Linked DNA regions of Lonchura striata. The protein of the gene in region 2 purifies or fractionates together with the protein of the main gene of each other region. This does not show direct contact. Links are inferred from orthologs where the notes say so. Each region holds a gene or a part of one and is shown on either strand. Other genes may lie near its edges.

What was found.
Region 1: the proteins of RHOA (region 2) and C3H1orf198 purify together in Homo sapiens (co-immunoprecipitation; 3 studies listed by BioGRID and IntAct, with this or other methods). This does not show direct contact. The link is inferred for Lonchura striata from reciprocal best matches to the Homo sapiens genes RHOA and C1orf198.
Region 3: the proteins of RHOA (region 2) and rho guanine nucleotide exchange factor 1 purify together in Homo sapiens (affinity purification with mass spectrometry; 3 studies listed by BioGRID and IntAct, counting the BioPlex papers as one, with this or other methods). This does not show direct contact. The link is inferred for Lonchura striata from reciprocal best matches to the Homo sapiens genes RHOA and ARHGEF1.
Region 4: the proteins of RHOA (region 2) and MAP3K1 purify together in Homo sapiens (affinity purification with western blotting; 4 studies listed by BioGRID). This does not show direct contact. The link is inferred for Lonchura striata from reciprocal best matches to the Homo sapiens genes RHOA and MAP3K1.

The regions. Positions count from the first base shown.
Region 1 is NC_134605.1:42,773,554-42,781,379, reverse strand, and holds the start of C3H1orf198 (uncharacterized protein C1orf198 homolog), read right to left. Parts: upstream 3,015-7,826; 5' UTR 2,963-3,014; coding exon 2,615-2,962; intron 1-2,614. Other genes in the region: TTC13 (tetratricopeptide repeat protein 13), read right to left, coding at 5,825-5,948.
Region 2 is NC_134614.1:10,401,849-10,409,709, forward strand, and holds the start of RHOA (transforming protein RhoA), read left to right. Parts: upstream 1-4,861; 5' UTR 4,862-4,963; intron 4,964-5,969; 5' UTR 5,970-6,074; intron 6,075-7,861. UniProt on the Homo sapiens protein: Small GTPase which cycles between an active GTP-bound and an inactive GDP-bound state.
Region 3 is NC_134639.1:340,572-347,688, reverse strand, and holds the start of rho guanine nucleotide exchange factor 1, read left to right. Parts: upstream 1-4,103; 5' UTR 4,104-4,125; intron 4,126-4,440; 5' UTR 4,441-4,463; coding exon 4,464-4,490; intron 4,491-5,374; coding exon 5,375-5,446; intron 5,447-5,538; coding exon 5,539-5,652; intron 5,653-5,906; coding exon 5,907-6,005; intron 6,006-6,099; coding exon 6,100-6,142; intron 6,143-6,685; coding exon 6,686-6,791; intron 6,792-7,117. Other genes in the region: B-cell antigen receptor complex-associated protein alpha chain-like, read right to left, coding at 215-325, 441-509, 950-1,068, 1,334-1,699, 1,969-2,031, 2,847-3,046, 3,455-3,459. UniProt on the Homo sapiens protein: Seems to play a role in the regulation of RhoA GTPase by guanine nucleotide-binding alpha-12 (GNA12) and alpha-13 (GNA13) subunits. Acts as a GTPase-activating protein (GAP) for GNA12 and GNA13, and as guanine nucleotide exchange factor (GEF) for RhoA GTPase.
Region 4 is NC_134642.1:31,200,073-31,207,923, reverse strand, and holds the start of MAP3K1 (mitogen-activated protein kinase kinase kinase 1), read left to right. Parts: upstream 1-4,837; 5' UTR 4,838-4,852; coding exon 4,853-5,319; intron 5,320-5,692; exon of another isoform or gene 5,693-5,720; intron 5,721-7,851. UniProt on the Homo sapiens protein: Component of a protein kinase signal transduction cascade. Activates the ERK and JNK kinase pathways by phosphorylation of MAP2K1 and MAP2K4. May phosphorylate the MAPK8/JNK1 kinase.

The DNA.
Region 1 (7,826 bases), on a different chromosome or scaffold from region 2:
CCACGGTCCTGTTACTGCATGTCTATTCTCTGTAACACCCTTCCCACACAGCCAACACACTCAAAGGTGTTTTGAAAACTTAAGAGTTGTTTATAGTTTGAGAACTTACAGTCCTGGGCTACAAGCTCAGGATATAAATTTGGTGTTAGAAGAGACATACAGGAAATGGTGGGGGCAAGAAAGAGGGAAGCAACTGTCCACTACATATATCCTCTGGACACCTCATCATAATGGTCATATGCATGAAAATGGGACTGAAACAGTGAGAGGCCTGGACCAGCAAATCAGTATCCTCAGTATTCATTCTTGGTTTGCTTTCTACCACATCCTCCAAAGAACATGAGGTCAGAGAGATCACATTTCCATGCTTAAGCAAGCCCAGGTAGATCACTACAGATTTCAACATCAGTTAACAGGGAAGATGAGCTGTGGCTGGAAACATGAAACTTTTGGACCAAGTGTATCAGCCAGAACATCATCAGGCCAAAACACTCGCACTGAAAGCTCTGCAGCTTCCACAAGTGATTCTGAGGCATGCGGGGTACTCTCCGTTTCCTTGCCTTAGAGCAGGCAGGACCAATGCAATGGTCCTGAGCGAGGGCTGGGTGTCCACAGTGCGTGCAGCAGCTGAGGCTCACACAGGCAGCAGGGCACAGCTCCCTGAGCAGGGCACAGAGGTGACAGAGCTCTGCAGGCCAAGCTTTGCGAGCCCGGGAAGCGGGACCGAACCGGCGAGGGAGCGGCGCGGCGGCGGCTCTGCCGCAGCCAGACAAGGAGGAACAATTTGTCAGCCAGGGCAAATGTCCAACAATCAGGTCAAATGCCAGCAAGGGCGCCAGGGGAGAGGAAGCTATCAGATGGAGAGCCAGGAAAGGCTCCAAGGCTCAGTAGTACAGTTGGAAGAACTAAAATGGAAATGGCGAATGCCAAAATGAGTGGAATCTCTTTTCTTCAGAGAAACAATTTATATTAACTTCTGCTTAGAAGTCATTGAGGAAGTCAGTTGAGGCAGATACTTCCAAAATTAAACACTTTGTATCAAGTATTTGGACAAACCATGCCTTCTGTGGTTAATGGCTACAGAAACATTAACATTATGCATATTGTAACTGTATTTGGGGAGAGAGGGGAAAGAAAACTATTTGCCCAGTTTCAGATGGACTCTCTAGATGTTTAGGAAATTATTATTTCTATACAGTGCAGCACAACAGCCTATAAACATGCTTGCTTTCCTTCCAGATCCACATAATTCAAAGCAGACAGCACAGCAGAGCTCTCCAAGGCTGGGAAAACTGAACATAGTTATTTTCCACACTCTTTAAATTATTTCACAATTAACTTCAGATTTAAGCTTCTTTTTAAAGGTTGTTTGCATAACCAAATTTGTTGTCTTGTGTCCTTCTACACCTCCTTTTGGCCATTCCTGTCAAATATTTATCTAGAATATTGGGTGTCATGAACTAGACAAACCTGAGCTACATCCTATGCTTTCTAGCTTTAGATATGATGTGTGTGCAGCACACCTTCCTGACAGGGGAAACACAGGCAGCAGTCTCCTGGCACAAAGCCAGTTGGGAACCTTGATGCCCAGTATATTTGTGCCCAACAGGCTTCTTAGAAATCCCATTGCAAGGGATATTGGAGAGGAGCCTAAAAGTAGCACTGCTCTCCTTAAATTGGATTGATGATTACAAATGGAGAAGCAGATTTTTTTTTTCTGGTAGAAGACATATAAGTGAATTATGTTAATTAATAGGTCACTTAAAGTTATTATATGGACATAGTGAAAGAAACCGACTCTGTAATCATATGAGAATAAAAAAATACAATAGAAATGTAAAAGAATAGAAAACAAAGGGAATCAATACACTGAATAAGAGACACAGTATCTGAAGAGTACTGTCAGATCTCTTCAAGCATTGTTAGACCTTCCTCTTCAAGGGCTCACACTCGGTAACACGACCCACTGCTCCAGACCGGGTACTCTTTTACTGTGGATTTCCAGAAGGGCTGCCACGCTTCACCATTGGATAGGTGGTTCTCAGAAGGTTCAAAATCTATACTTTTTGCCATCTATCTTTCCACACCCTTGTTTTTCCTGGCATGTGACATGGAACAGGCTGCATTTTTTTAAGGTGTCAAACATGCCAAGAGCTAGAATGTATTCAGTGTTGTATTTTTAACCGTGTCTAAAACTAGAAACCAAAAGGAAGATATTTAATTCAGTGTAAACATTCCCTACAGCCCATTTTCAGCAAGAGACTATGTCCAGCGCCATGACCCGCCGTCGGGGGAACTGAGACCGTCCTCTCTCCGAGTCTGCTTTCTGCAAAATCCACTTCAGCGCTGTCGCTGCCGGCGCCTTCCTTGCCTTTACGGTGTGACCCGGCGCCTCTCTCGTGGTGAGCATCCCGCCCTCCCGCACAGCCAGGCAGCGGGAAGGAATCAAGCTCATCACCGGGGCAACTCCTCCCGCTGCCGACGGAGCGCCCGCCACCCGGGCAGCCCAGCGCCGGCGGCGCCGCAGCCCGGGGAGGTCGCGGCCGCCGCGCCCCGCCCGTGCGGGGGTGCCGGGGCCCCGCCGGCGCCCCTTCCCCTTCCCCCAGCCCGGTACCTCGTCTCCGAAGCGCACCACCTTCTGCCCGGTGTTGAGGCGCAGGCTGGGGTAGGAGGCGGGCGGCGCGGGCGGGCGGGCGGTGCCGCGGTGCGCGGCGTAGCGGGCCTGGACGTGCGGCTCCACCAGGCACTTGTCGATGATCTCGTCCTGCTGGCGGGGCGGCAGCCGCTCCCACTCGGGCCCGTAGCGCTCGCGGATCCGCTCCTTCTCCGCCATGATCTTGCGCGCCATGGGGCTCAGCGAGGAGAAGTAGCTGAACCGCTTGCGCTCCCGCTCGTCCAGCGGCCGGTTCCCGTTCATCACCGCCGTGCGGGAAGCGGCGATCGCCGCCGCCATGGAGGCCATGGCCACCCCGCCGCCGCCGGCCCCGCACTCGCACGGCGGGATTGGGGATGGGACCGGGAAGAGAACCGCCCCCTCCGCTCTCCTCCCGCAGACGCCGCCTCCCTCGCTCGCTATAAAGCCGGGCGGCCGCCGCCCCGCGCTGCCCGCCCCCCGCACGCCCAGCCCGGCGGCCCCTGCCCGCCTCCCCCGCGGCGCCGCTGCCGGGAGCCGGCCTTGCTCCCGCTGCCTCGGGCCGGCGACAGAGGGAAGCGGGGACACCGCCTCCCGGGCTTGCTCCGCTCTCGGCACCGTCGATAGCGTGGGGCTGAGCGGGCCCCGCGGCCCTCGAGTGCCCCTGCCCGCAGCTCTCGTCTCCTACAGCCCTTCCCCTGCTTTGCCGACGAGGTAAGCTGTAGTATTCCCACGCTGCCGGGCCAGGAGCACCACGAAAGGACTTGCCTCAGCTAGCAGAGGATCACCGTGCCCAAGAACCTGCCTTTCCTCACTCCCTAAAGAAGTCGTACGTGTTTCTTAACACGATAGAAGACACCGGCTGCTGTCAGAAGAGAGAGGATGTCTGGCACATGCACTTTTGTCCAACTGCACCAGTTAGGGTGCCAGGTGGTCCGAAGCCTCTGTATGAATTTGATAGTAAAGTTGCAGCCTAAGCGTAACAAATCAATGCAGTAGGCATTACATTGGTAAAATAGATGCCTAAAGGCTTAAATAATTAGGTTGTCTGGTCTCTTCCTTTGTTGTACAAATGCTCGGTTCTGGTAAAAAGTCCTTATTTTGGCAAAAGATTCACCAAGGATCCACACACAAATTCCCAAAAGATGACCAGTCTCCTGGGGTGGGGTGGTGGAAGCATACTTCCTTTCCACAAAAAAAACACTCAAAAAAACAACAAGAAAAAAAAAAATCAAGCTTACCTAAGAGAGGCAAATATGTCAGAAGATTTATACAAGACTAAATCTATTTTGACTTTTGGCCAAGGTAGTTGCAGGGGGAATGTTTATCATCTTCAAAATATATTACAAAGTAGTGCAAATATTGAGGTTCAGATTAATGGTTTTTCATTGCTTAGCCTATTTTTTTTCCTCAGTCTGCTTTCTTTAGTATCATTCTTAGTAGATAAATGACTGGGGCTGCAATACATTAATGTTCCCATTTAAGAGTTCAAATGGTATCACCAGACCAGCTGTCTAAGATGGCACAGAAGAGGATGGAAAATGATAATTAGATTTCTCCACGTACTTGGTCCTTAGGAGGTAATTACAGTTCCCCAAGTCATCACATACCAGCCCAGTTATATAATCTTGTTTTGTTTGTTAAACTTGTTTGAGAGCACTTGACTTGAGCTCACTCTCTTTCTTAGTCATCTGCATCACACCCAGAGAAAGAAGCCTTTGAAACACTTTTGCAGCCACACATACACTCATAAGAGGTGTAACACACATTACTCCAAACCCTCCCATGATCTCCCCTTAATTAATCTCTTTTGTTTGCCACCAGGAGATAGGGATGAAGTCAGTCACCGGAGTAAAAAATGAGGACAAGGAAACCCAGACAACTGCACATGGTTTGTTTGTCCAGGCAGTTTTTTTCTTCCCCACCACCCCTTCTCCACTACCTCTGGTCTAAACCTCAAAACAGAACCCCTCCTTTTTATAGTTCCCAAGCCTGTCTGGTCAAATGCCAATATGATTCCCCTTTCTCAATGAATAATACAATGAATAACAAAACTTAGAGGAGGCTTAGAAGATCACATTAGAACACAAACAAGGTATAAAGTTAGGCATAGTTTTCAGGCTGCTGTTTTTCCAGGAAAATAACAATTCCTTTCTTCCTTAATGAAACTTAAACTTCTAGTCTTTTAAACAGAAGAAGCAAACAGTGCTTATTTCTAGTGGGATAGAAGAAGGTACTTAAGAACAGAATGTTGAAAATACCTGTGTCACAAATGGACAGCATCCCAATTCTTTCAATGAAAACGTACAAACCTCCTTTATCCTTACTTGCAAAAAAAAAAAAAAAACCCCAAACAAAAACAAAACAAAAAAAACCAAAACTACTTTTGCCCTTTACAGAAATTCCGATCAAGAAAGTTCAGAATTCATATTCATTAGTACTAAACACACAGGTGGTCAAATTATGGTTTGGTTAGGGAAACCTGCTTTTCCTGAATGCTGCCAAGTCTGTCCAACAAAAAACAACTCAAGGAACACTAGCTAGTGCTCCCAATATATTTAAATCCTGTCACTCTTTTATTAACTTTTGCCAACCACCACCACCAGTGGGTACTGGGAAAGGGAGATTGTTCTGTTTCTGACATTTACTCACCAAGAGCCTAACTCCAAATAAGTAATTGGTTTGGTTTTGTTTCCTAATGATGTTTCCCTGAGCCCCATTCTTTTAAGCTGACATCTGTTCCTTCACTGCACTGCACCACATGAAATGCCTGTGTATTCTCCAGTTACTCACACATGGTAGAGTTTTAAGTGTTCTGTGCAGAGGCTTTAAAACAAACCAGTGAGAAGTAAAATAGTGTTATTTCCAAAGAAAATTACTTTTCTGTTTTTTTTATTAAATAAATTTTCACCTGTAGTATGTTCAGTTCATAAATGATCAAGTTTCTTTCTGCTCTTCAGTTGGGCCCCTGAATAACTATTTCTGTTACAGTGTGTCTTAATACAAAAAAAGCAGTTGTTCTTTTTTCTTCTTTAATATTATTTGGCACAGAAAGATTTCTTTTACTGGTGATAAATAGTAAGTAAGTTTGTTCTGTTAAGAAAACCAAAATAAAATCAAACCATTTTGTCCATAATTTGCTATTCAAAATAATTTACAAAGCAGTACCTTTTGGCCTTTTATTTGTATAAATTATACAACAACTATAGTTTTTTTTAGACAATGAGAGGAGTCTGTGTTTAGTACTTCAATCATTGTTCTCAGGGTTGGAAAAGTCTCTGATACTGATGGTAGGCTCTTGTAAGAAGGTGAAATACTGAAAGAGAAAAAAAAAAAAGTTATTTTTAATGAGTTTCATAATTTCCCTGCAAGTTAACACATTAACTTACTTAACTCAGACTTCTCCCCATCACCTTCTCCAACAAATTTGGGACCTGTGTCTAGAATCAACTTGATGCAACAGGCTTAGGGCAGAGTGGCTGGAAGCTGCTGGGCAGAGAAGGATGAGTGGGTGCTGGTTGACAGCAACTGAACATGAGCCAGCAGTGAAGCCAAGAAGACCAGTGGCATCCTGGCCTCTGTCAGCAATAGTGTGGCCAGCAGGACCAGGGCAGTGGTTGTCCCCCAGTACTTGGCAGTAGTGAGGCCACATCTCAAGTCCTGTGCCCAGTTTTAGACACTTCACTGCAAAAAGGGCAATGAGGTGCTAGAATGAGTTCAGAGAAGAGCAAGGTTGCTTGTGAAGGGTCTGGAGCACAATTCTTAGCAGAAGCAGCTGTGGGAGATGGGGTTTAGCCTGGAGAAAAGGAGACTCAGGGGTGACCTTACTGCCCTCCTACAACCACCTGAAAGGAAGGTGTAGCCACATGGGGGCTGGTCTCTTCTCTCAGGTTAACAAGGGACAAGACCAGAGGAAATTGGCTCAAGTTGTGCCAGAGAAGGTTTAGATGGCATATTAGGAAACATTTCTTCATGGGAAGGGTGAAGACATTGGAATAAGCTGCCCAGGGAAATAGTACAACCAGCATCCCTGAAGTCATCAAAAGCAAGTGAATGTAGCACTTGTGGACATGGTCTAGTGGTGAACACAGTGGTGATGGATTAGCAGCTGGACTCAATGATGTTAAAGTTTTTTCTCAGCCTTAATGATTCAATGATTCTCAGAATCTGTTGTTCACAAACAGCTCTTGCTTTTCATGACTACTCCATCATCATACAGAATGAAAACCATGTCTACAAAGAAGAGCTTTCAAAAGCAGCAGAAGTTAAAGAAAAAATGTATTGCTTTAAGTCTTCCAGCCTTATTTACCATATCCACTATTACTTATCTACCACAAACAAATTAGCCACTCAGGCAAATTAGCTTCATGCTATTATATAAAGTCCTTTGGGCTGTAGTTCTTCAGATTTATTTTTTTTTTCCCTGAGCAAAGTCAACTTTAGCATTTTCTCCACTCTGGCTCATTTCCCCACCTATTATACATCTCTACGTTGACCCAGTGATTCCCTAGATTCTACTGTACTACAAAATGGTATTGATTGAAAATAAATTGTTTGGCAAGGTTATTTTTAACATGAATGACTTCCCTGATCTGGTTTGACATGGATTCCCATAAGTTTCAACAGTTCAGCTGAGGGAAGCAGAAACACATGAAGTATCTTAAGCTGACTTTACTCCCAAGAAGGAAGCTTCTCTTTGGTAAAGCTACATCTTAAACCAAAACAATCCAGTCCCACAAAAACAAAACCAGCATGAACAGAGGATATCTTAAGCTGACTTTACTCCCAAGAAGGAAGCTTCTCTTTGGTAAAGCTACATCTTAAAAAAAACAAAACAATCCAGTCCCACAAAAACAAAACCAGCATGAACAGAGGATTAATAAAGAAGAGTATATAATTGAGAGAATTACAGAAAAAGTTGTGGGAACCATAAATATTTCATATTTCCAAGACAAGCATGTCAAAATATTTGTAGAGACTACTTTTAATAAAATTCACAACTTGCTACACCTGTAGTTTAAAAATGTCACTCCTTAATGAATACTGAATTTTACTCATTTACAAGTAGATTTTTAGTCTAAGTTTCACAAAGATGTCCTTGAATCTTATTAGCCTTCTTCATTTAGGAAGGGATTTTATAGTCTAGTGAAATTCACCAGGCTCAGAACCCCTGATAATAAAGTTAAGTAACACT
Region 2 (7,861 bases):
AAAAGGGAAGCATGGGCATTTAATAGAAAAAACAGTTTTGGCATAAGAACATGTTGTAGTAATTTAATTATTTCAGGATCAAGTTGCATCATTATGCTCTCTTCTGTTTACCCTTTGAAACTAAAAGGGAACGGGGTTTTATTTCACTTTTATTTCTAGCACAATTTACTAGAGCTCTTCCAAGTATTTCTAAATTCAGAAAAGAGAAAGAAAACTAATTATCTCAAAGTGCACAGAAAGATTTTAATATTAAATGTCTTACTATACAACTGAAATATTCTATTCCATTTCTGTTCTATTGTTTTATAATAGAACAGAATTCTATTCTGTAAATTCCATTTACAAACTCAAAGTTCTGTAATTATTTTGAGTTTGAACATAAACTGACCTTCACTGGTCTTGCTTGCTGCCTCTTAGTCAAACTACATTTCTCTGATAGGGTTTTAAATTCAATTTGCTCTGAACATACCACAAAGTAAACTTATTACCATTTTATTTTCTTGCCACTGCTCACTTAAAGACAACAAAATGCCATGTACAAGCGCCGTGTTGGTGTGAAATAAACTAAATAATTCAGCTTTCAACTGACACACAACCTGACAGAATTGTGTAGAAAAATAAATTACTTGCAAGAGACAATAATGGAACATAGGAAAGGTTTTCAGAAGTGCAGGAGGAGCTTGTGCCCTATTTGTGGAACACAGGAAGGTGGGTCACACTAGGATTAAGGGATGAGCTTGTGCAAGTCACTGCAGTTTGGAGCTGTTGTGCCCAAGAGCCAGCCAGGGTCTCTGAGAGCTGCAGCCTCCTGGATACATATTCCCAGGTATGGATGCGAGATAAAATTTCAATTCAGGCAATAAATCACCTTCGCATGAGGAGAAAAGGAGGAACCCACACTTGGAGAGGGAACACAGACCACAGAGTGCTCTGATGGCTTTGCTGCAGGATTTTAAAGTGTGCTTGCCGCACCCATGGAGGCAGAGGATAGGCTTGGAGACACGCAGTTCTTGGAAGGCCAGTGTTCCTCTGAGTCTCAAGGCCTTCCAGCCAGGATTCTCTCAGCAGGAACACAGAGCTGCTTTCTCCTGCTGCAGTAGTCCTGCAACAGGGAAGCCTGACCAAGCCTTGGAGGTGCCTGTGCCAGACACTTGAGCAGCACTGATCTGGGGCTTGTAGGTGTCCTTTCTCCAACCACTGCTAGAGGAGGCCAGCAAATTTTTGGAGCTTCTGCTCCCCCTCTGCATATCAAAGGCTTTGGATTTCCCTATCTGTGTGGACAAGCAGTTCTCTCTTCTGTGAAAACCCTATCCAGAGCACAGGAATTCTCCCTTCATCAGGGCTGTCATAACAGCAACATGCACAGCAGCCATGGGCCCAGCTGCAAACTACCACCCATGGACAACACCAGTGAGCTAATTGCTACAGCAAGGGAGAAGGAGGAGGCTAAAGGACTTGCTTTTAAGGTGGCCACTTCCTTTAGGACTTCAGACAGGTGACTTGCCCTTCAGGATTCTTTATCTCTGAGGCAGATCAAAAACTAAATTCATTAAAGCCTGCATTTGGCCTAAATGTGGTGTAGACTATGCAGAGAGGAAGACTGATGTCCTACATGGAAGAAATAGATCTCCTTTTGGTTTGAACTCTGCTGGGTTTACTTTTTTTTTTTTTTTTTTATTGGCACCATTGGGAGAGTTCCCATTTGCTTAATTAGGCCACATATGAGGAAACAGAAAAGACACTTGGCATATTTGGCTTGACCTGCTAATTTCCATTGTTCATTAATCTGAACTGCCTGGGTTTAGATAAAAGTTTGTGACATTAGGAGCTGGATAGCCAAGTCAGCTGGGAAGGATAAGTTGTTGGGGATTTTTGGGTTGGTTTTGTTTTTTCTACAGACACAAACCCACGTTTTTATTGTGGTAGACAGATGCTTTACACTGCTCAGTTTATAGCCCTAGAACAAAGACAACATTGACATACCATTATGTTTGGTTGGCAAGCATTTCTAGATACTACTCCCAGTTTCTGACAAGATTTTTAAAAGCAAATTATAATGCAATTAACTAATAGGTAAGTTATGGAAGCACTCTTAGTAAATCATGTCAGTGCTGGGGTGCTTGAAGGAAGCTCTCAGTTTCCTGGCACAGAAACTACATTTACTCTTCAGTGAAGTGTATAGCTTGACCAAAAATATAACCCATGGTATATTCCCTAAGGGAAAAAAAAATTTATCAGCTACTGCTTCCAATTATTTCTTCTCAGTTCTTGTTGTTTTCCTGCTAGCTGTAAACACATTTGAAAGACTGTCTGACTTAAGTAGAACTGATTGTAAAAGGTATCCCTGCAATAAAAATATCTGCAAGAGATATTTGGGGTATTTTAGCTTTTCATGGCAGTCAATAAACCATTTTTTCCCCTGTATGGGCCCTTACCTTGGCAAAATAAAATAATTGAGGGGAGGAGGAGAAAGGGAGGGGCTTTGATTTATGACCAAACTAATAGTTTCAGAATACATTGCTTTGATACATAAACAAAGTCCCCAAATGTTGTGTGAGAAGAGCTGCACTTCTGCAGCAGTTTCTCACCCTTGACACAAACCTGGCCATCATGAAAGTCAGGATGAAGACTGTTTTGAATAGCACACGCAAGACAAGAAAAGGTAGCAAGTTCACACTACAGACACCTTCAGAAGATGTGGTTTACAGAGAGAGTTAGACTGAGGATCCTCATTGCTGTCAGTAGAGTTTGTTGGCTACCTTGATTAAAATCAGTTTTGAATCCATTACAAGATACCTATTCACCAAACTGGGAAAAGTCAGCTCCTGAAGTACTTTCATTAACATCATGCCCAAACAGTACCCACCTGAGAGAGCAGGACCTGTGGCCACAGACCCAAATTCAATCAGTGCTCTCCCTTGGGCAAGGAGAAGGAAAAGGAAGCACACACACTGTGATCAAAACACCCGATAGTGTTTTGGAAACAAAGGCAAAAATTCCCAATGGATCATTAAAAAAAAGCAACAGTAGGCCACAAGGATCTCTATTAAACAGTAATAAAAAACAATTATGAAAAGAACCTATGGCCTAGAAATAACTGATTTCTGATTCAAGCCTAACCAACCCGATGTTCAAACCACAGATAATTTCCCTATAAACTTCAGGAAAATGAACTTCTGTCTCAGCAACAGAGGTGTGAAGGCAAACTGGTCAGCCACAGAATAAACTATCATGGGCCTCTGACTGTGCACACTATCAGTCATCCATCAAGAACTGGTACTAAGCTGTAAAAACCATTTACCACATTGAATCAAACGTCTGCTTGGTAAGAAAAAGTCACCTTCCTTGCAATGCTGGCAGAACAAGCCAGTCCCAGGGAGCTGCTTACTGAGAGGAGCTAAGCAGCACCCGTCCTCTACAGGTACCAGAGCAGTCCATAAAAAGGTCAGCCTAAAGTTAGCTGGCAATGCAAATGTTGTCAAATGAGGGAATGGGGAGAAGCACTGCAGATCATGCATCAGAAGCAGCACAGCATCAGTTTCTCTTACAGTGTCCAGGTTAAACAGACCATCCCCAAGTGCCAGCTGAAGGCTGCTGAGCCTGTTCACAAGGGAGCCCTGAGAGACACCAGAGGCTGTTTGTCACCAACCCTCTCCATGCACACATTCCCTTTGCAGTGATGACCTCACCCCGGGGCCCCTGAAGCCAGTTCCACATGTTGAACCTCCTCAGGTGGGCAAGGATGGAAATGATGAAGTAGCATCCTTCCTCCAGTGCATCAACCACAGGTATCTGCACCCTGGGATGAGGGCAGTCCTTGCCATTAAGCTCACCACAGACAAACTCAGGAAATGCTGTGATTCCAACCCTTCCAGCCCCTGCCTTGTGCTGCCTGTGAGCCCCTCAGCTTTCTCCAGCCCCAACGGCACAGCTCAGTGCCTGCTAGGAGCAGAGCTCATTTGCTCCACTGGAATAAATAGGCTCACAGACAAACAGGGTACTTTGATACCACTGCTCCCAACCACCTTTAACTGAATCAATTAGGTTGTAAGACCTGCAGTCATCAAATCCTGCCTATGACCAAACTCCTGGATGTCAGCCAGACCATGGCACTGAGTGCCTCAGCCAGCCTTTCCTTAAACACCTCCAGGGACAGTGACCCCACATCTCCCCAAGCAGCCTGTTCCAATGTCTGATCACCCCTGCTGTGAAGAAATCCTTCCTGATGTCCAGCACAGTGCAGTTTGAGACTACATCCTCTCATCCCATCTCTAGTTCCCAGGCAGGGGACGCCAATTCCCACCTGGCTGCAGCTTTCTGTCAGGAGTTTTACAGAGTAGCATAGCCACCCCTGAGCCTCCTTTTCTTCAGGCTAAACACCCCCAGCTGCTCCTCACAGCACTTGTGCTCCAGACCCCTCACCAGCTTCACTGCCCTTCCCTGGACCCTTCTGGTCCTTCCGAGCTGAGGGGCCCAGAACCACGCACTGGACCGGAAGGGAGAGACGAACCGCCCACAGACAAACCGGGCATCGCGATTCAGGGCCCCACCACAGCCGCCTTTCCCGCAGTAGATGCGGAGGGACCGTGCCCAGCATCGATAACGCCTCACGGAGCAGGCACCGATGAGGCCGCAAGGAGGCGAGCAGCCTCCCTTAAGAGAACACCAACAGGCCCAAAGCCAAGCCCACAGCCCAGCCCCGCCGCTCCCCAACTGCCGCGGCGTAAATAGCACCGGCACCTTTTATAGCGGCCCTTCCCGGCAGCCCCCGCGCGCGGCCGCGCCGATTGGCCGCGGGGCTGGCAGCCGCGCGCGGCCGGGCGGGGCGGCTCGGGAGCGCGCCGCGCGCGGGGCCGGGAGCGCGCACGGCCCGCCCCGCCCCGCCCGTTTCCGCCGCCGCCGCCGCTCGCGCTCGGGCCTGTGGAGCAGGAGGCGGCGGGAGCCGGACCAGCGCAGGCCGCAGGTACCGGGGGGCTCTCTGCCGACCGCGGGGCGCGGGGTGGGGGGGCGGATCGCCGGCCTCTCTTCTCCCCTTCCCCCTTCCCGCCGCCGTCGCCGGGTGGGGCCCGCCCGCCCCCGCCGGGAGTCCGCGGCCTGCGGGCGGGGGCGGCCGGGCCCGGCCGGGCCTCTCGCCGCCACCGCCGCGCACAAAAGGGGAGGGCTGGCGGGGGTGGCCCCTCCGCGAGTTCCTGGGGCCGGTAACGGGGCCCTTTCCGGGCCGCGGGAGCGGGGGAGGGGAGGAAGGGGCGCGGCCCCGGGGCTCTCCCGCGGGAGCCGCCCGCGCCCCGCCCGGGACCCGGTACCGCCGCCGGGCCGTGGGCGGTGTGGCGGGGGCGGTGCTGCCCCCCCGGCCCCGCGGGGTGACACGGGCGGCACCGGGGGTGCCCCGGTGAGTGGCAGCTTGTTGTGTGACGTCAGCGGCGCCGGGGCCGCGCCCCGCCCGCACCGGGGGTCGCCGTCCCGGGCCCCCCGCGGCACACGGGGCCGTGCCGGGCTGCCTCTGCAAGGGCTGCCGGGGGGTTGTGCGCCGCTGAACTTTTATCTCGGGGAGGAATCGGCCTTTGGAGCGAAACTGGAAAGTTTGGGCGGTGTTTTTTGGTGGGGCGGCTGCAGCAGGCCGGGGAAGCGCCGGGGGTGGTTTGACACCACCGGAGCCCCGACAGCCTCACCTGGGCTGAGAGCTGCCCGGTGTTAAAATACACCCCGCATAAACCTTTTCTGCCACGACACCCATTCTTTCGAGCGCGAGAGGAACCTCGAGACTACTGTTTGAGTTTTAAAAATAAGACCCAAAAACTTCTCCCAGAGGTCTGGAGAGTTAGTTATTAGTGATACTCAGGATGAAGTATTGTTCCCAGTCCAGTGATACCACAACTACTTTGATATCCCTTTAAGAGGTGTCTGGAACGGGGGTTTGTTTGTTTTTAGTTGCTGCCTCATATCCAGCTTTTGTTTCTCTCCTCGTACAGTTCACCTGTTTGTTGCAGGGAATTCTTCACCAGCAGTGGTTCCCACCCGCCCTTTCTCTGTGTGATACAGTATTTGGAGAAAATTAAACACTAAGACTTCCCTAGGTAATGTTAAGTTTGTTGTTGCCTTCTCCCCCCACCCCCAGAGCTTAGCCTAAGTGTCAGTTCTGCCATCTGTGTGAATTTGAAATGGTAAACTTCTTCCAGAACCAGACTTCTGTTGTCTTCTTTTTATCTCAGAAATTTCAAAAGTTAATGGTACGTGTCCTAAATGTTTGTGAATCAAAGTATTAGGTTTTCGCATGGCTTTATTTGGGGATTTTTTTTTCCAGTATGGAAATATTAAGTCTTTCCCTCCCTGAAAAGATTGTTTGTGAAAATATTTGCTTGCTGTTGAAGACTCTTTTGATACATGTGTGCTTTCTTCCTGCCCTGTTCTGGTCTTATCCAGGTCTCCAGCCACACAACAACGGCATTTCTCGTTCAAATATACACAGGCTAATTCTGGTACTGATTTGGACCAAGGCTGCATGTTTAAAAAAAGAAAAATGTTAGCCTTATTTCACTTTAATTAGTTCACTGGAATGTTTAACAGCACATTCAGCATAAATGTTTGACATAAATTTGTATGATTTTTACAATAATCCATAAATTTGGATGATTTGTATCATTTAACACTAGAATACATGTGTTTGTCAAAAATAATTTTTCAAGACATGAATGCACCATCACATAAAGGGCAAAATAAATTCAGTCACAGCAGAACTGAGCTGAGCAGCTCTCATGTTATCCCTGCTCACCAAGCTCAGGCTCTGGCCAAGTGCCACAGCAGCCAAGCGCCAGAGGCGGGGAGTTCTCTGAGCCAGGAATTGACAGTAAAAACATCCTAAATGATCTTAACTGCCACCAGGATGTAGGACTGGGGATGGCTCTTCAGATAAGCAAATTGCAAATGAAAACGTTTAGGAGAGGTCTTAGAAGTATCATCATCTTTCCTCATTTTCCGATAGTAACTCTTGGGTTTCTGGTTTTTAGACTTAATCTTTTTCTCTCAATGTATTTAAGTTGCCCAGAATCCTGTGGGCTCTTCCTCACATCTTGTCTGCTCTGTGCTAGATATTTCTGACCTTGGCTACCTTTTCATTAGCCAAGTGTGCCTTCTCAGTGTCTCTACCATTTTACTCCCTGCTGCTTATGGTATCATCAGGTTCTTTCCAAGTCTCCACTCAAACCACCATCTTTTACCTTTAGTACTAAATCTCATCTCTCTCTCTTGTTCTGCTCTGTTGCCTTACAATGTGTTTTTAAACGTAGTTTGAACTAACGTGGAGGAGAAGTGTAATGGGGTGAATTTAAGGAAGTTAGCATGTTGATAAAGTACAGCAAGTGTGCCCTTGAAATCTTAAATTAATCCATTATGAGCTTGTCCTAGTAAAACATATAATAAGGGTGAAACTCTGTAATAGAGAACAGTGCAATGCAAAATAAATGTGCCAAATGACAGCAGACCTTCATTCCATTCCCAGGGCACAGCTATGCACCTGCACACACCTGAATGCATGATGAAAATCCTCTGCTCCTTGCCTTTTGGTATAATTCCTCTCCTGCTATAAATAGTGGGTAGCTAAATAGAAAGAGGTGGTTGCTTATTACTTTTTGGTAAATCTCAAAAATAAGCAAAAATATCCCAAAATACTATCTGTGGTACACTGGTTAAGTTACTGTTACTTTTCCACTGCTGTTCAGTGTCTGGGTGCCTTCTGGTCTTGGTGGGATCTGTTACCACTCATTCTGAACAGTGAATAAAGTAGCAAAGGCTAATTGGAGTTGGTAGAGTGACACTGCCCTGTCCATCCTCTCTTCTGTCCTTTTCCTATCACCATATTTTCATT
Region 3 (7,117 bases), on a different chromosome or scaffold from region 2:
AGGAAACCAGTGGTCTCACCCTCATTATTTATTCAAAACTTATTAAAGATTAATTAATTGTTTATTAGCGATTCATCAGCTCCAGTTTTATTTTGGGGAGGGGCTTGGCATCAGCGCCGCCTTGAGATACCAAAGCAAAGCCTTCGTGGGGTCGGGGGGCACGCAGGGGTTTGGGGAGGGGTCTTTGGGACCCCCCCTCATTTTTGGGGGGCTTTTAAGGCTTCTCCAGGAGCCCGTCGGCAGGGGGGGTACCCACGTCCTGGTAGGTGGGCTGAACCCCCCGGGAAATGTCCTCGTACATGGAGCACTCATCCAGGTTCAGCCCCTGGGGAGGGAAATTGGGGTCAGGGGTTTGGTTTGGGGTGAAGGACCCCCCCCAAACACACCCCAGACCCTTTTTTGGGGGGTTCAGGGTGTCACTGCCCACCCCCCCAGGTCACCTCATAAAGGTTTTCCTCCTCCAGGGAGATTTTCTTGGGCTGGAGGAGCCGCTCATTGGCCCAGCGCTTCTGGGAGGGGGAAAAAAGGGGTACAGGGGGGTTTGAGGGGGGGATTTGGGGGAAAAAATGGGGATTTGGGGTGATGGGGGCAAAAAAAGGGGTACAGGGGGTTTGAGGGGGGATTTGGGGGAAAAAGGGGTACAGAGGGGTTTGAGGGGGGGATTTGGGGTGATGGGGGCAAAAAAGGGGTACAGGGGGGATTGGGGAGGAATTGAATGGGAAACTGGGGGTCTTAGGGGGGGAATTAAGGGTGGCAGGGGGTATTTAGGGGCATCTGGAAGGGGATTTTGGGGAACCAGGAGGAATTGGGGTTGTCAGGACTGAAACATCAGGGACAGCAGGATCGGGACCAGGGATACCAGGACTGGGATTGGGGACACCAGGGCCGGGATTGGGGACACCAGAACCCCGAATTAGGGGCGGGGGTCCCCCCGGAGCCCCCTCCTCACCCTGAAGAGCAGCAGCAGCCCCGGCCCCGCAGCACACAGCAGCAGCAGCACTCCCTGCGCCGTCATGATCCTGTTCTTGGTGGCGTCTGCCAGGTCCAGGAACGGCACGGGCACGGGCTCTGCCGGAGCAGCCCGGCTCAGCCGCCCCGAAAACCTCCCCAAAACCCCCTCCGGGAGACCCCGCCCCAAAATCCCCAAGGGACCTCCGCCCCAAAACCCACCCCAAAATCCCCAGGGACCTCCGCCCCAAAACCCACCCCAAAATCCCCAGGGACCTCCGCCCCAAAACCTCCCCAAAATCCCCCCAAAATCCCCAGGAACTCTCGCCCCAAGAGCCCCCCGGGAGACCCCCACCCCAAACCCCCCCGGGAGCCCCCCACTCACCGAGGACCCTGACGAAGGTGCCGCAGGACTGCGCGGATGCATTCCTGAAGCTCACCCGGCAGAAGTAGAGCCCGCTGTGGTTGTGCTCCAGGTGCGCGAAGCTCAGCCTGGAGACCCCCGAGTCCCCCTGGCCCACCCAGCGCTCCCCGCCCTGGGCCGGCAGCTCCTGGGGCCAGGGGCACCCAAAGGTGCGGCCGCCGGGACACACCTGCAGCCAGGTGACGCGGGCGTCCGGCGGCTCGAAGCGGCACTCCAGGCTCAGGGACTCCCCGAGCTCGGCGGTCACGGAGGTGGGCACGGGCTGGACGTGGACCCCTCCCCCGGAGCCGCAGGAGAAGCCCCCGGGCCGGGTGGGCACCGTCAGCGCGGGGGTCTCCGGGAGTGAGGTGGGAGAGGCGAGGAAGGAGAGGTTGTGGCACTTGGAACCTGGGGGGACAAATTGGGGGGGTCACGGAGGGGCGCTGACCCCGTTTTGGGGGATCCCTGCACCCCCCCGTGGGTGGGGGTCTCCGGGCGTGGGGTGGGAGAGGCGAGGAAGGAGAGGTTGTGGCACTTGGAACCTGGGGGGACAAATTGGTGGGGGGGGTCGCTGAGGGGCGCTGACCCCGTTTGGGGAGGTCAGTGTGGACCCCCGTGGGTGGGGGTCTCCGGGCGTGGGGCGGGAGAAGCGGGGAAGGAGCTGTTGTGGCACTTGGAACCTGGGGGGGACAAATGGGGGATCACGGAGGGGCGCTGACCCCGTTTTGGGGGATCCCTGCACCCCCCGTGGGTGGGGGTCTTACACGGGGACCCTGCAGGTGGCACCGGGGGGAACCCCAGCCCTGCTGCCCCCCAATTCCTGCTCTGCCCCCCCAGTTCCAGCTCTTCCCCCCCAATTTCAGCTCTGTCCTCTCAATTTCATCTCTGTCCTCTCAATTTCAGCTCTGCCCCCCCAGTTCCAGCTCTGCCCCCCCAATTTCAGCTCTGTCCTCTCAATTTCAGCTCTGCCCCCCCAGTTCCAGCTCTGCCCCCCCAAATTTCAGTTCTGCCCCCCCAAATTTCAGTTCTGCCCCCCCAGTTTCAGCCCTGGCTGGGGACGGAAGCTGGGGGGGGGGTCCCAGGGGTGACACCAGCCCAGGTGGCTGGGGGGAAGCACCCGGAGGTTGTTTTTGGTTTTGGGGTCCCCCTGAGACCCCCTAAGGGGTTCAGGAGGGACCCATGGCCGTGGGTAACAGGGGACCCGCCCTTAAGGGGGGTGGGCACAGGTGGGACCCCCCAAAATCCCCAGACCCAAACCCTGAGACCCCGGAAGTCCTGAAACACCCCAAAAACCAGAGATGAGATCCTCAAGACCCCCAAGACCCCGGAAATGAGACCCTGGAACTCCTGAAACCCCCAGACCCAAACCCTGGGACCCCCAAGAGCCTCAGCCCCAAACCCCGACACCCCAGAACCCCTCAAACCCCCCCCCAGATCCAAACTCAAACCCCGAGATCCCCGAAGCCCCCAGCCCCCCCATCCCCCCCAGCGATACCTGGGAGGAGGAGGAGGAGGCTGAGGGTGAGGAGGGGGCTCGGGACCCCCCGTTTTGGGGGAGCCCCCCGGATTTGGGGAGCAGCCGCCATCAGCTGCGTGCGCCCAGGCCCGGCAGGAGATTCGCCCCAGTGCCCCGGGGGGAGGGAAGTGGGGGCGGCCCGCCCCAAAGTCCCCAGGGACCCCCGCCCCAAAATCCCCCTCCAAAATCCCCAGGGAACCCGCCCCAAAATCCCCAGGGACCCCCGCCCCAAAATCCCCCGGGACCCCAGAGGAGGGGACGGGGTGCGCGGGGGGCTTGGGGAATGGAGGATCTCGTGTTGGGCTCTCGGGATTTGGGTCTGGGGGCTCAGGAGTCCAGGGGTCTCAGCACCGGGATGTCACAGTCCGGCTCTGGGGGGTCTCAGGGGTGCCAAGATTTGGGTCAGGGGGCTCAGAGGATCCCCGAGTCACGGGCGTTCCTGGCACTGGAGTGGGGGTCTCGTTGGGGTGGCTCTGTGGGTCACACCCCGCGAGGGTTCCGTGGGTCCCACCCCATGGGGTTCTGTGGGTCCCACCCGTGGGTCCCACCCCATGGGGTTCCACCCGTGGGGGTTCCGTGGGTCCCACCCCATGGGTCCCACCCCATGGGGTTCTGTGGGTCCCATCCCGTGGGTCCCACACCCCGGGGGGGATCCGTGGGTCCCACCCGTGGGTCCCACGCCACTTCCTGCAGGAAGCTCCTGCGACGCCCGGGAACGCCTTTTTCCTACCCAAAAATACCCGAACCCCCCCAAAAAACACACGAAACCACCCCAAACCCCCGACCCCGCCCCGGGAACGCCTTTTTCCGCCCCAAAAACACCCAAACCCCCCCAAAATCACCCGAATCCACCCCAAACCCTGAGCCCGCCCCGGGAACGCCTTTTTCCGCCCCAAAAACACCCAAACCCCCCCAAAATCACCCGAATCCACCCCAAACCCTGAGCCCGCCCCGGGAACGCCTTTTTCCGCCCCAAAAACACCCAAACCCCCCCAAAATCACCCGAATCCACCCCAAACCCTGAGCCCGCCCCGGGAACGCCTTTTTCCGCCCCCAAAACACCCAAACCCCCCCCAAAATCACCCGAGAACGCCTCTTTCCGGCCAGACCCGCCCCAAAAATACCCGAAACTAACCCAAATCCCCGGGAACGCCCTTTTCCGCCCCAAACCCACCCGAATCCACCCCAAAATCGCCGGCCCCGCCCCCCCCGGTCCCCCCCCCCCATTTCCTGGACCGTTTCTCCGGCGCGGAAACAGGTACGGGGGGGGGGGGGGTGGGCGGGGGTCTCCTGGGCCCTCCCCGACCCCCCCCAAACGCCCCCCAAGTTCCCCTTCGCCCCCCGGGGTCGCCCCCCGGGTTCCCACGCGTGTCCCCCACCCCAAATGGGGTTTTTTGGGGGGGTCCGCCCTGGTGCCCCCCCGCCTCGAACGGCACCGGAGCCGCTCGGGGCGCGGCGCCGCCCCCTCCCCACCCGTGACCCCTCCCCAAAGCAGAGGGGGGTGCGGAGAAACCCCCCCCGACCCCTGGGACCCCCCCCAAAATCTGAGACCACCTCCCCAAACTCGTGACAGGACGAACCCCCCCCGCGAGCACGATGGACCCCGAGGAGGGATTTAATGGGGTGAGCGGTGCCCCCCACCCTGGGGGTCCGGAGACCCCCCCCCGAAATCCCGCGGGCGAGGGGGGTCCCGGGGGGCGCAGGGCCTCGCGGACCCCCGGTTCTGGGGGGCTCAGGGGTCTTGGAGAGCCCTGGGGGCCGAGATCGCGGGGGTCTGGGGGGTACTGGGGGTCTCGGGGGGGGATCTCGGTGTGTGGGGGTCTTGGAATGGAGGGGGGGTCTCAGGGGTCTGGGGGTGCTGGAGGTTTGGAGGGGCCTGGGGTTCTCGGCGGTCTGGGGGTTTCTGGCGTCCTGGAGTCTCAATCTGGGGGTCTCGGGGGTCTGGAGGGGTCTCAGTCTGGGGGTCTCGGGGGTCTGGAGGGGTCCTGGGTGTCGGGGGGGTCTCAGTCTGGGGGTCTCGGGGGTCTGGGGGGGTCCTGGGTGTCGGGGGGGTCTCAGTCTGGGGCTCTGGGGGGTCCTGGGTGTTGGGGGGTCTCAGTCTGGGGGTCTCGGGGGTCTGGGGGTCCTGGGTATCGGGGGGGGTCTCAGTCTGGGGCTCTGGGGGGTCCTGGGTGTCGGGGGGGTCTCAGTCTGGGGCTCTGGGGGGGTCCTGGGTGTCGGGGGGGTCTCAGTCTGGGGGTCTCGGGGGTCTGGGGGGGGTCCTGGGTGTCGGGGGGGTCTCAGTCTGGGGCTCTGGGGGGTCCTGGGTGTTGGGGGGTCTCAGTCTGGGGGTCTCGGGGGTTTGTGGCATCCTGGACTCTTAGTCTGGGGGTCTGGGGGCTCCTGGGTATCGGGGGCTCTCAGTATGGGAGGAGGGTCTCAGGGGTCTTGGGGTGCCTGGGGGGGTCCTGGGGGTGTCCGGGCAGTCTGGGGGACCCCCGAGCCCCCCAACCCCCGCTGCCCCCCAGCCCCTCCCCGGCCCCCCGGCCGCCGCCATCATCGGCGCCGAGGACGAGGACTTCGAGAACGACATCGAGCCCGTGAGTTTTGGGGAGGGGTCCCGGGTGGGGGGATCCCCTCGGCCGCGCCCCCCTCCCCAAATCCCAAACCTGACCCCGCGCCCCCCGCCCAGACCCCCGAGGAGCAGAGCAGCCACTTCCAGAGCCTGGAGGAGCTGCGGCAGCACCCGCTGGCCCTCGCGGCCTTCCTGCAGCATGTCGTGCTCCAGTTCGACTCCTGCCCCGTGGTGAGATGGGGAGGGGGCTTCGAGACCCCCACCCCAAAATTTTGGGGGGCAAAATTTCCCCCGGGGGGGGCAGTGGAGGGTGGGGGGCTGCGGCCTCGGAGTAACTTCGTGTCTCTGTTCCCCCCTCCCTGCCGGCAGGGGCTGGAGCTGAGGTAAAACAGGGGAGGGGGAAGTTTGGGGGTGTAATTTGGGGAGGGGGCTTGGGGGGTTTATTTTGGGGGGGGGTCAGCCCGTTTGCCCACCCCCCACCCCAGCTCTGCTACCTGCACGTGGACATGATGAAGAGGATGAACCCCAAGGAGGGCAGGAAGCAATTCCTGGAGTTCTGTCACTTGTTCCTGGACAAGACAGGGGTGAGACCCCTCCCCAGAATGCACCCCGGACCCCCTCCCCACCCCAGGAGTGATCCCCAAAATCCTGACACCCCCCCCCCCCCATCACTGACAGCTCCTGCGGGTGCCCGTCCCACACCACGTCCAGTTTGAGCTGGGTGAGTGAGACCCCCGACCCCCTCCTCATTTTCAGAGACCCCCAAACCCCCTCCTGCAAACTTCCAGAAACTCCCCGAGCTTGGGTGGGGGGCTTCGAGGGCACCCCAATTACCCCCCTGTGGGACCCCCACCCCACTTATCCCCCCCATGGGACCCAAAGCCCCTTGCTCAAAGCGGGGAGGGGTCTCTCCCCTGCTGCCTCCCCCCAAAACCCCCCTGTAAAAGTGGGGAGGGGTCTCTCCCCCGCTGCCTCCCCCCAAAACCCCCCTGCTCAAATCGGGGAGGGGTCTCTGCCCCCTGGGACCCCACTGCTCAAACTGGGGAGGGGTCTCTGCCCCCCTGGGACCCCCGCAGTGAATTTGGGGAGGGGTCTCTGTCCCCATGGGACCCCCCCACTCAAAATGGGGAGGGTTTCTCCGTTGCTGCCTATCCGTGCTCAAATCGGGGAGGGGTCTCTGCCCCCTGGGATCCCTTTACTCAAATTGGGGAGGGGTCTCTGCCCCCCCGGGACCCCCGCAGTGAATTTGGGGAGGGGTCTGCAGAGCGGACGCGGCCGGAGCTGCTGCCCGAGGAGGCGCAGCGCCGCTTCCTGCAGGACATCCAGAGCTTCCAGGAGCCGGAGATCGCGCGGCAGCTGGAGGACTTCAGGTGCCCGATTTGGGTGGGTGGGCTCGGGCCGGGGTCGGGGCGGTGGGCGGGGGTCTTAGGACGCCCCCTCCCCAGGTCCAAGCGGCTGATGAGGGTCTCGGGGTGGTTGGGGGGCTCGGGGGTCTCAGGACGCCCCCTCCCCAGGTCGAAGCTGCTCATGGAGGGGTTGGGTGGGCGGGGGTCTCAGGACGCCCCCTCCCCAGGTCCAAGCAGCTGATGGGGGTCTCGGGGGTGGGCGGGGGTCTCAGGACGCCCCCTCCCCAGGTCCAAGCAGCTGATGAGGGTCTCGGGGTGGTTGGGGGTCTCGGGGGGTCTCGGGTGTCTCA
Region 4 (7,851 bases), on a different chromosome or scaffold from region 2:
GTAATCTGGAAATCTGTAGCTTCCACGAATGCCACAATTTATAAAAGCTGTGGTTCTATTTGTGTCTTTGACTCATAGAACAGAAGGAATAACAAACACCTAGGCTGAAAGAGATTTAACACTGGTAGCAGCAGGGTGAAGGAAAATTGAGCTATCACTGTTTTTCTGAGTCTGAAATCATAGAGTTGCTTTCCCCCAAAGAGAGAACAGATAGTGGTGTTTTCAATAGATGGAATTGTTGATCCAGGTGAGAACTATCACCCAGGTGCTGTCATTTTACTAGTCTGGAAGAGTATAAGAAAAATAGCTTATGGCTGCAATAATTTCAGTAGTTCTTTGTAAATGATGCATGAGAAGAGGTTTAACAGGTTTTGTTCATTCATTAATACATTTATTTTGAGCAAGGATTCATCCTGAAACTCAATAATATTATATCCCTCAGCCTTGTGTCATGCCTTAGGTAGGTAAATATATTTGTTACACAGTTACAGCTGGGAAAAATTGAACCATGAAAGGATCATGACTTATTCAAGGCCAGAAAAATCCTCTGTAGTACAGCCAAGAAGAATATCTAAGTTAGACGTCAAGCTATCAATATTCTAAAGACTATCTGACATCAAAAATGGAACTGATTTCAGTAGTTAGTGCAATATGTACAAACTAGTGATAAAAAAAAATCAAGGCAGCAGATATACTGTACAAGGACTACACTCTAGTTTGCTGATTGCTCTGTTGCCTGTTTGTCTTTCTTAAAAGACAAACTTAAATTACAAACTCTTTGGGAAGAGATAACCTTTTTGTTTTGGATCATATGGTAGATAGACCAAAAAGTTCACCAGTTCATGTGTAAATGCTACAGCAAAAAAAATTGTTAAGTGTAAGGAATGTAACTAGACAATGCAGGAGTGTTGTAAGTAGCATCATCACCACTGTTTCTTAAAAATAATCTGGGAACTGTTATTACATGCTTTGGGAGAACAAGAAGATTTAAGTACAGCTCTTTCCTTATACTATGTGTCTGAAACTTAGGTCAAAACATCACCCTCAGTTTCATGGATCCAAAAAAATTTTTTAACAAAAGTTCTGTTCCATATGGACTGAATTGTGAGGGGAAAAAAAAATCTTTAAAGGTGTTTTCCATTAAAATAATAATGAAAAGCATAAGTAAAACATTAAGGAAATAAATTTATAAATAGCAGCAGACTAGACATTCCCAGTGTGTGAGCAAAAGCCCCTATAATTTTCTGTAACAGATTCCAGTTTTACTTGACATTCTCTCTCCTGAGAAGTGGTACAGGATCCTGCTTTTCTGAAGGATACCTGTTATGTTATAAGGTACACCTGTTATGTTATAAAGTAAGAATGGCATCAGAAAGATGGCAAAGCATTACTACAGAAAACAGCAATGCCGGCAGATTTCAGTAGTACCTAGGAAAGTAGTATGAAAAGATCCTCAGATTGGTTCTCATTTAGTTGCTTGACTTTTCCATTACACAGAGGAGTAAACAGGAAAGGATTTTGGCTTAAGAGCAGGTTTGTTTTCCCTTTCTCACAACGGAAAGAATGAATAGAAGATCAAGGTGGGGATAAGTCTTTCTACACAGACTAACAAGACAGGGAGAATCCAGTTTGTATACAGTATTAAAGCACTTTTTGCATGTTTAGTCAAGACCAGAAGCTATGGACTGTATTATCTCTCATATTTATTCTGTTTGTGCATGATGATGCCTAGGTTATATATTCAGGGGCACAGCAGATTCCTATCTCTAGCATGTTGAAAATTGTTGACTATTCATTACACTGTTACAAGTTTTGTGCAACAAGGAAACTCCTTGGCTTGCAAAATCTTAGTGTGTTCCCAAACAGAAGTTTCTTTGTGTACAACGGTAGATGTTCCAAATATTGCACGATGCTAATTTGAGGCCAAAGGCCTCTGTTTCATAACAAACCCTGAGTGCTGTTACTTGTGACTAAAAACTGCTAAAAGTCTCAGGTTACCTTCTAGAGCTGTGTTTTAGATAGAATGAGAAATAATCTGTGCAAGAGGTAACTGAGTATCTTTCAGAGCTCTTAAGCAAGTTTTGTACTTTTTTTCAATCAGGTCAGCTTGTTTATTTAAGTGCAAAAAAAATTTTAAGAGCAAATGAGAAAACACAGATGTCAACCAGCATGTTCAATTTCTGATTTCAAAGTGGTAGAGCCTTTATATTGTGCATAAATCTGTGTTTCATGTCAGCACTGCACTACAGAGTGTTCTAGAGTGAGGAATGGAAGACGGGTCTTGTTATCCATTATGTTTCCTTCTCTGGTCACAGCACTGTGGAGAAACACACTTTTGAAAATAAATAAAGTGACTATAGGCACTATAGGCAGAATGTAATTTATTTGAATTGAAATTCAGCCACTAGTCAAAGGATAAACAACAATGCACTTTTTAATGAAGAATAGTAAGTTTTCCACTTTGCATCTTATCCAGAAGTAATGCAAAACCTTGACAGCACTGGCCTTACTCAAAAGGCAAAGTAATGCCTTAAAAGGAATGGTGACAGCACCTGTCTCCTTTTAGCTGTTTCTTACAGTGGTGCCTCTCACTGTCCCTGAATTTTATATTTTGCCCTGTTCTTAGCTGCTTTCCATAAAACATTTCACCTCAGTGTACATGCAGATACACCACAGTGTAGAATTCCTCAGTACCCCACTGCCACTCTGACATTTTCCTTGAATTTTCTGTTTCCTTCTCCCTTGTTGGAGTCTTGACACCCTGAGAGAGATGTCCCCTAGAACTGTCATACACATTGTGTATATACCCTTACCTCCTAGATTTAATTTTATTGAAGATATGCTGCTTCTCCTCTGTATTATATTCTGACCAATTGCTATTCAAAGGAATATTCCTCTTCCATTTTAAGAGCATTTATAAAATACCTAGTCATTTTGTTCTGTTTAGATGTCTTTAAAAGCATAGGGGTTTGTGTGGTTATTTTCTTTCTTTTTTCTGTAAATGTGATTTTATGGCAGAGAGGAATATTTGAAAAACTATAATAATGCACTGATTTGCATGTAACTAATTTCATGCTGTGTCTACAAAGTGGATACTTTGTTATCTTGTTCCCATGAGTAACCTCCTCACTTTTTCAATGTGTCTTGGTCTAGGAATCTTCCAGAATACTCTCTCTAATTTACAGCAGAGGCTTTAAGTGTCAAATGCTACCTTTATGAATTAATTTACATTACAAGTTGTACATTAGCTGTACAACCATTAGTTGTAAATTGCAAGAGAATATTAGATGATGGTCTGCTTATCCCAAAGAAACTATACCTGCAAGATGACAAGGAATACAACTGACCTTCTCACAGCACTCTTCACTGAAAACCTTGCACAAGGATGGTTGTAGTGTGGCATCTTGACAGATCACCTAAATGATTCACTCAGTGTGACCTCAAGGCCTTACCTACTGATATTATTCTCTAAGTATACAGAGTACAAAAAGTGTCCTCAGGCTTTTGTCTAACGGGAAAAACCTCTTCCTATCTGCTCATCACATCCTCCAGCAAAGACCCTACATTTAGGTCAGCTTCTGATCATATAGGTAACGCAAGAAAGAATCTGCTTCTGCTAGAAGGTAATTCTCACTCAACTAGTGCTTCAGATCAAATCACTGATCCCAGGAAACTGACCATACTAATAATCATTACTGATACGCGTAGTTAATGTTACACTTGCATACCCACCAAATTCTGAAAAATACGCTTGAAATATTCAGCTAAAGTGCTTTAAAATGTGACTTCTACTTTATCTAAAAACCACACCGTCCCAAAACCAAGCTTGTATGCATAGCAATATTCAGTTTTCCTTTTCTCATCTCAGATCTAAAAGCAAAACCACCCCAATGTGGTTGAGCGAAAATCCCGACAAGTAGAAAATTTACTTGAACCTCCCCAAGTTTCTGGTCATGTGATGTCTCCTGCCTTTCTTCTCTCTCGCAGTCTCTCAGGAAACAGCCGCAGCGGTAGGTGTGCGTGGCAGGGTATAACCTTTCCTACATGTGCATGCCTGCGCACACAAGGAGACATTAACGCTTCTCCGAAGTTTGCAGACATGGAGAAGTACCTGAGGACGGGGGGAGCGGCGCCGGCCAACTGAGGGCAGCCCGGAGAAGGACGCGCGGTGGCTACGAGCGAGGATGTGCATTTGATTCCCTCCTGACTGCAGAGAGGGACGCCCAGGTGAGCTGGGGCACACTTGTGAGGCGATTCATCGGCTGTACGCAGCGAGGCACCGCGGGCGCTCCGCTCCTCCCGGCCCCTCGCCAGCTGCTGGGGAAATGCTGGCGAGAGGAGAGGCTCAGATTACGGGGGTGCGAGATGGGAGGGCTCCGAGATCCGGGAAAGGCTTCTCCGGCCTCGCACGGAGCTCAGCCCGCCCGGCCGGCCGTGCGCGCCCCGGGGCTGCCGGAGCCTCCGCCGCTCCCGCACGTGGGGAGGGCCGCGTGGGGCGGGGCCGCGCTCCCCTCTTGGCGCCTCCACCGGCTCCCTGGCTTGGCTCGGCCGCACGGACGGACTCCGTCCGGCTCCAGACCCGGCCGCAGGCCCGGCCCCAGCCCCGCGGAGCAGCGGCGGCGGCAGGCGCGGCTCCCGCCCGGGTCCCGCCCCGACACCTGCGCGGGGGCGGACGGGGCGCGGCCCCGCGGCACCTACGGGCGCGGCCCCGCCCCCGGCGCCCGCCGCCGCCAATCCGCGCCCGCCGTCCGCCCCCGCCCTACGCCGTTTGCGCAGGCGGCGCCGTTTGCGCAGCGCGCCGTCCGCCGGCGGCCCCCGGTGCTCGGGAGCCCGATGTGACCCGACAGAGAAAATGGCGGCGGCGGCGGGGGATCGCGCCTCGTCATCGGGATTATCCTCGGGCGGCGGCGTGGAGGCGGCCGCCGCCGCCGCCTGCGGGAGCCTGAAAGGCGGCGCGGTGGCCGGGAGCGTCGCCGGGAGCGGCGGGGGACTCTTGCGGGAGGCGGGCGGCGGCAGCCGAGAACAGCGCTCTGACTGGAGACGGAAGCAGCTGCGCAAAGTGCGGAGCGTGGAGCTGGACCGGCTGCCGGAGGCGCCCCTCTTCCTCGCCGCCGCCCCGGCCGCCTCGTCCTCTTCCTCCTCCTCCTCGCCGGAGCCCCCTGAGACGCTGCTGCTGCTCCACTACCTGCCCGGGCCGCCGCGCTCCAGCCCCGCCAGTCCGGCTGCCTCCCCCAGCCGCTGCGCCGAGCTCCTGGAGCCGCTGCCGGCGGGGACGGGCGCCGCCGCGGAGCGGAGGATGGAGCCGTCCCCCGCCGCGAGGTGAGGGGCGCCGGCGGCTGGAGGGGCGGCGAGGGTCGGTCCTGGAGGGCGCTGTGTGACAGCGGCGGCGTCGGGGCTGTTCTCGCGGACGGGGCTCGGGGCGGGCTCCGCCGCCCCGTTCCCCCCGGCCGTGGGAAGTGGCGGATGCGGGGGCGGCAGGAGCGGCCGCGGAGCGCAGCGCTGGGGCGCGGCGAGCAGAGCTCGCCCGCCGCCCGCCTTCCCCCGGGACACCTGGCCCGGGGCTGAGGGAGGGGCACGGCCGGGCCGGGCTGCCCGCAGCTGTCAGCGGTGCGGGGCTGCGCGGGAGCCGAGCCGCGGAGCGGAGCCGCGGGGGGCGGCCCGTGTGGCTGCGGGGTGCGTTTGTGTTCGACTTCTGCCGGAGTCCCGAAAGGCTTTGAAGTGTGAGCTCGGGGCGGCGGCGCGGCCGGGGCCGGATGTGTCAGCAGCCATTGGGGCTCGGGGCGAGCGAGCGCGGTGCGGGGCCGGGGCCGGGCTGCGGGCGGCGGCTGAGCGCCTGCCTTGCGGGCTCCCCAGGCGCTGCCGAGTGCTTTGCTGCAAAACTGAGTAATCGACTTTATTATGTTTTCATTTTCCCCTTCCCCCTCCACCCCACCCCCTGAATTCTCCGAAGTCAGATTTTAATTTGCTGCCTCGCGATAATGCAGAACTGATTTCTTTTAGTAACAAGAGGAAAGACTTTGAAGCATAAATATCCGCACTCTTTTAATAGGGGAAAGTAATTTTGTCGTGGCTTCGTCTAGGTGATAAATTTCAGTGGTTGTACTCAGCGCCCTGGTGTTTGCAGTCTGTCTTTGCCTTCTGTGTGTATTAATTGATAAGTCCATTTTCTTCTGAACTACCAGTATTTTGCCTATTTGCCTATTTATGTTTGCAAGTACTCAGGTTGAAAGCGAACTTATGCCCGTGGTGAAGGAGTTTAAGTACTTTAAAACACATTTCAGCTTTAGCATGTACTCGCTGGGTTTTACTGGTGTATGTGTGTGTAGGCACTGCAGTATGACCATTTAATTTTGGTGTGAAGATGACAATTTCACCTGGATCTCTTGTAAGGTTTTATCTGGTGCGGACTCTAGTTTAAGAACTTAGTTTAAACATCCAGGGACCTATTTTAGTGATGCCTTACAGTTTGGCTAATCATTTAAACCTCATAAAAATATAATTCCTGTTTGGACGTGACTTGTGTTTTCTTTTTAGTCGCATCTTATGTCAGTCAAACCTCAGGAATATTTTTTAAAGGTTGAATTACCATAGGAATACTGTAATAAGAACTGTTTCCTAGACTGATGACTTGTTTATATTTATTCTCAGCAATTCAGATGGATTTTGGCCTGTTCCTAGGGCAGTGTAAAAATACTTCTTATAGTGTGATTGTCCAGATAAGAAATGGCTCTGTACTTACACAAGGATTAGCAGGAAATTGTAGATGTTTTAGGGAAGGGTAATGATGTAGAAGTTCTAGTGAGTGCCTTGTCTTTTTAAAAACTATTAGCACCATCTTTGTTTTTATAAAGTCATGGTATTATAATGTACTGTATATGATAATACAGTTATATCAAGTTTCATGGCTTTCAAGAAAAAAAAATAGCATCAGAATATGTTTAAAGAGGTCGAGTCTCAAGGTGGTAGCAAGTGGAAGTCAGGCTCAGTGTTGGAGGTGCAGGAAGGTCAATGTGTGTCGCATCAGTGCTGAAATGCTGCATCCATCATTGGTAGTTGGTCCCACAGCAGCAATGACAAAGCAGCTGTGGATATATTTTTTTGCCTTTTCACATGGACAATTTTGCTTACTTTTAGGTACCTGCATTTGGCCAAGTGAGTGTATTGAGTGTGTATGCAATTTAAAATACTTGGAAGTGTTTTGTGCTATTTTACTAGGAATGTTAACAAATCTTAGAAAATACCGAATGCCAAAAGCTTTTCTCTTCAGTATTTCAGTGAGTCTACTTTGAGTTTCTTGTAAGAGCACTTGAAAATACATGACAACTTTAACAATGATTGTCCTTCAGAAATACCCATGCATGCTCATGTAGCTCAGTGTGCTGTATTACCAATAAATACATATTAGACCAAGTAGTTTAAATCAAGTTTAGATCAAGTTGTTTAAAAAATTTAAAACATCTATATGGCCTCATTTTAATATTGACTTGTTTCAGCTGGAGGAGAGAGGCTAATTGATATGCGAGTAATAATAATACTCATTAAATTTGTCTGGCCAGCTGTTGCCGAGATATTTATTAAGAGGCAAACTTAAAGGTATAATTTAATGAATGTTTTATGGGGAGGTTTTGAATGCAGTTAGTTGTACTTTACCTGTAAGGATCTACTATTAGTTAGAAGATATATTTGCTCCAAAGTCCCCCTATCAGTCTCTTTGGTATTACAGTTACTTCCTTTTAAATAGATTCTCTGTTTCTCTTTATGCTGGAAGACCTTCTTGATCCTCAAAACGAACCTGAGAAGGGAAACTGACTGCTGTTGAATTATAGATGTAAATATTACTTTTTTCCTTCA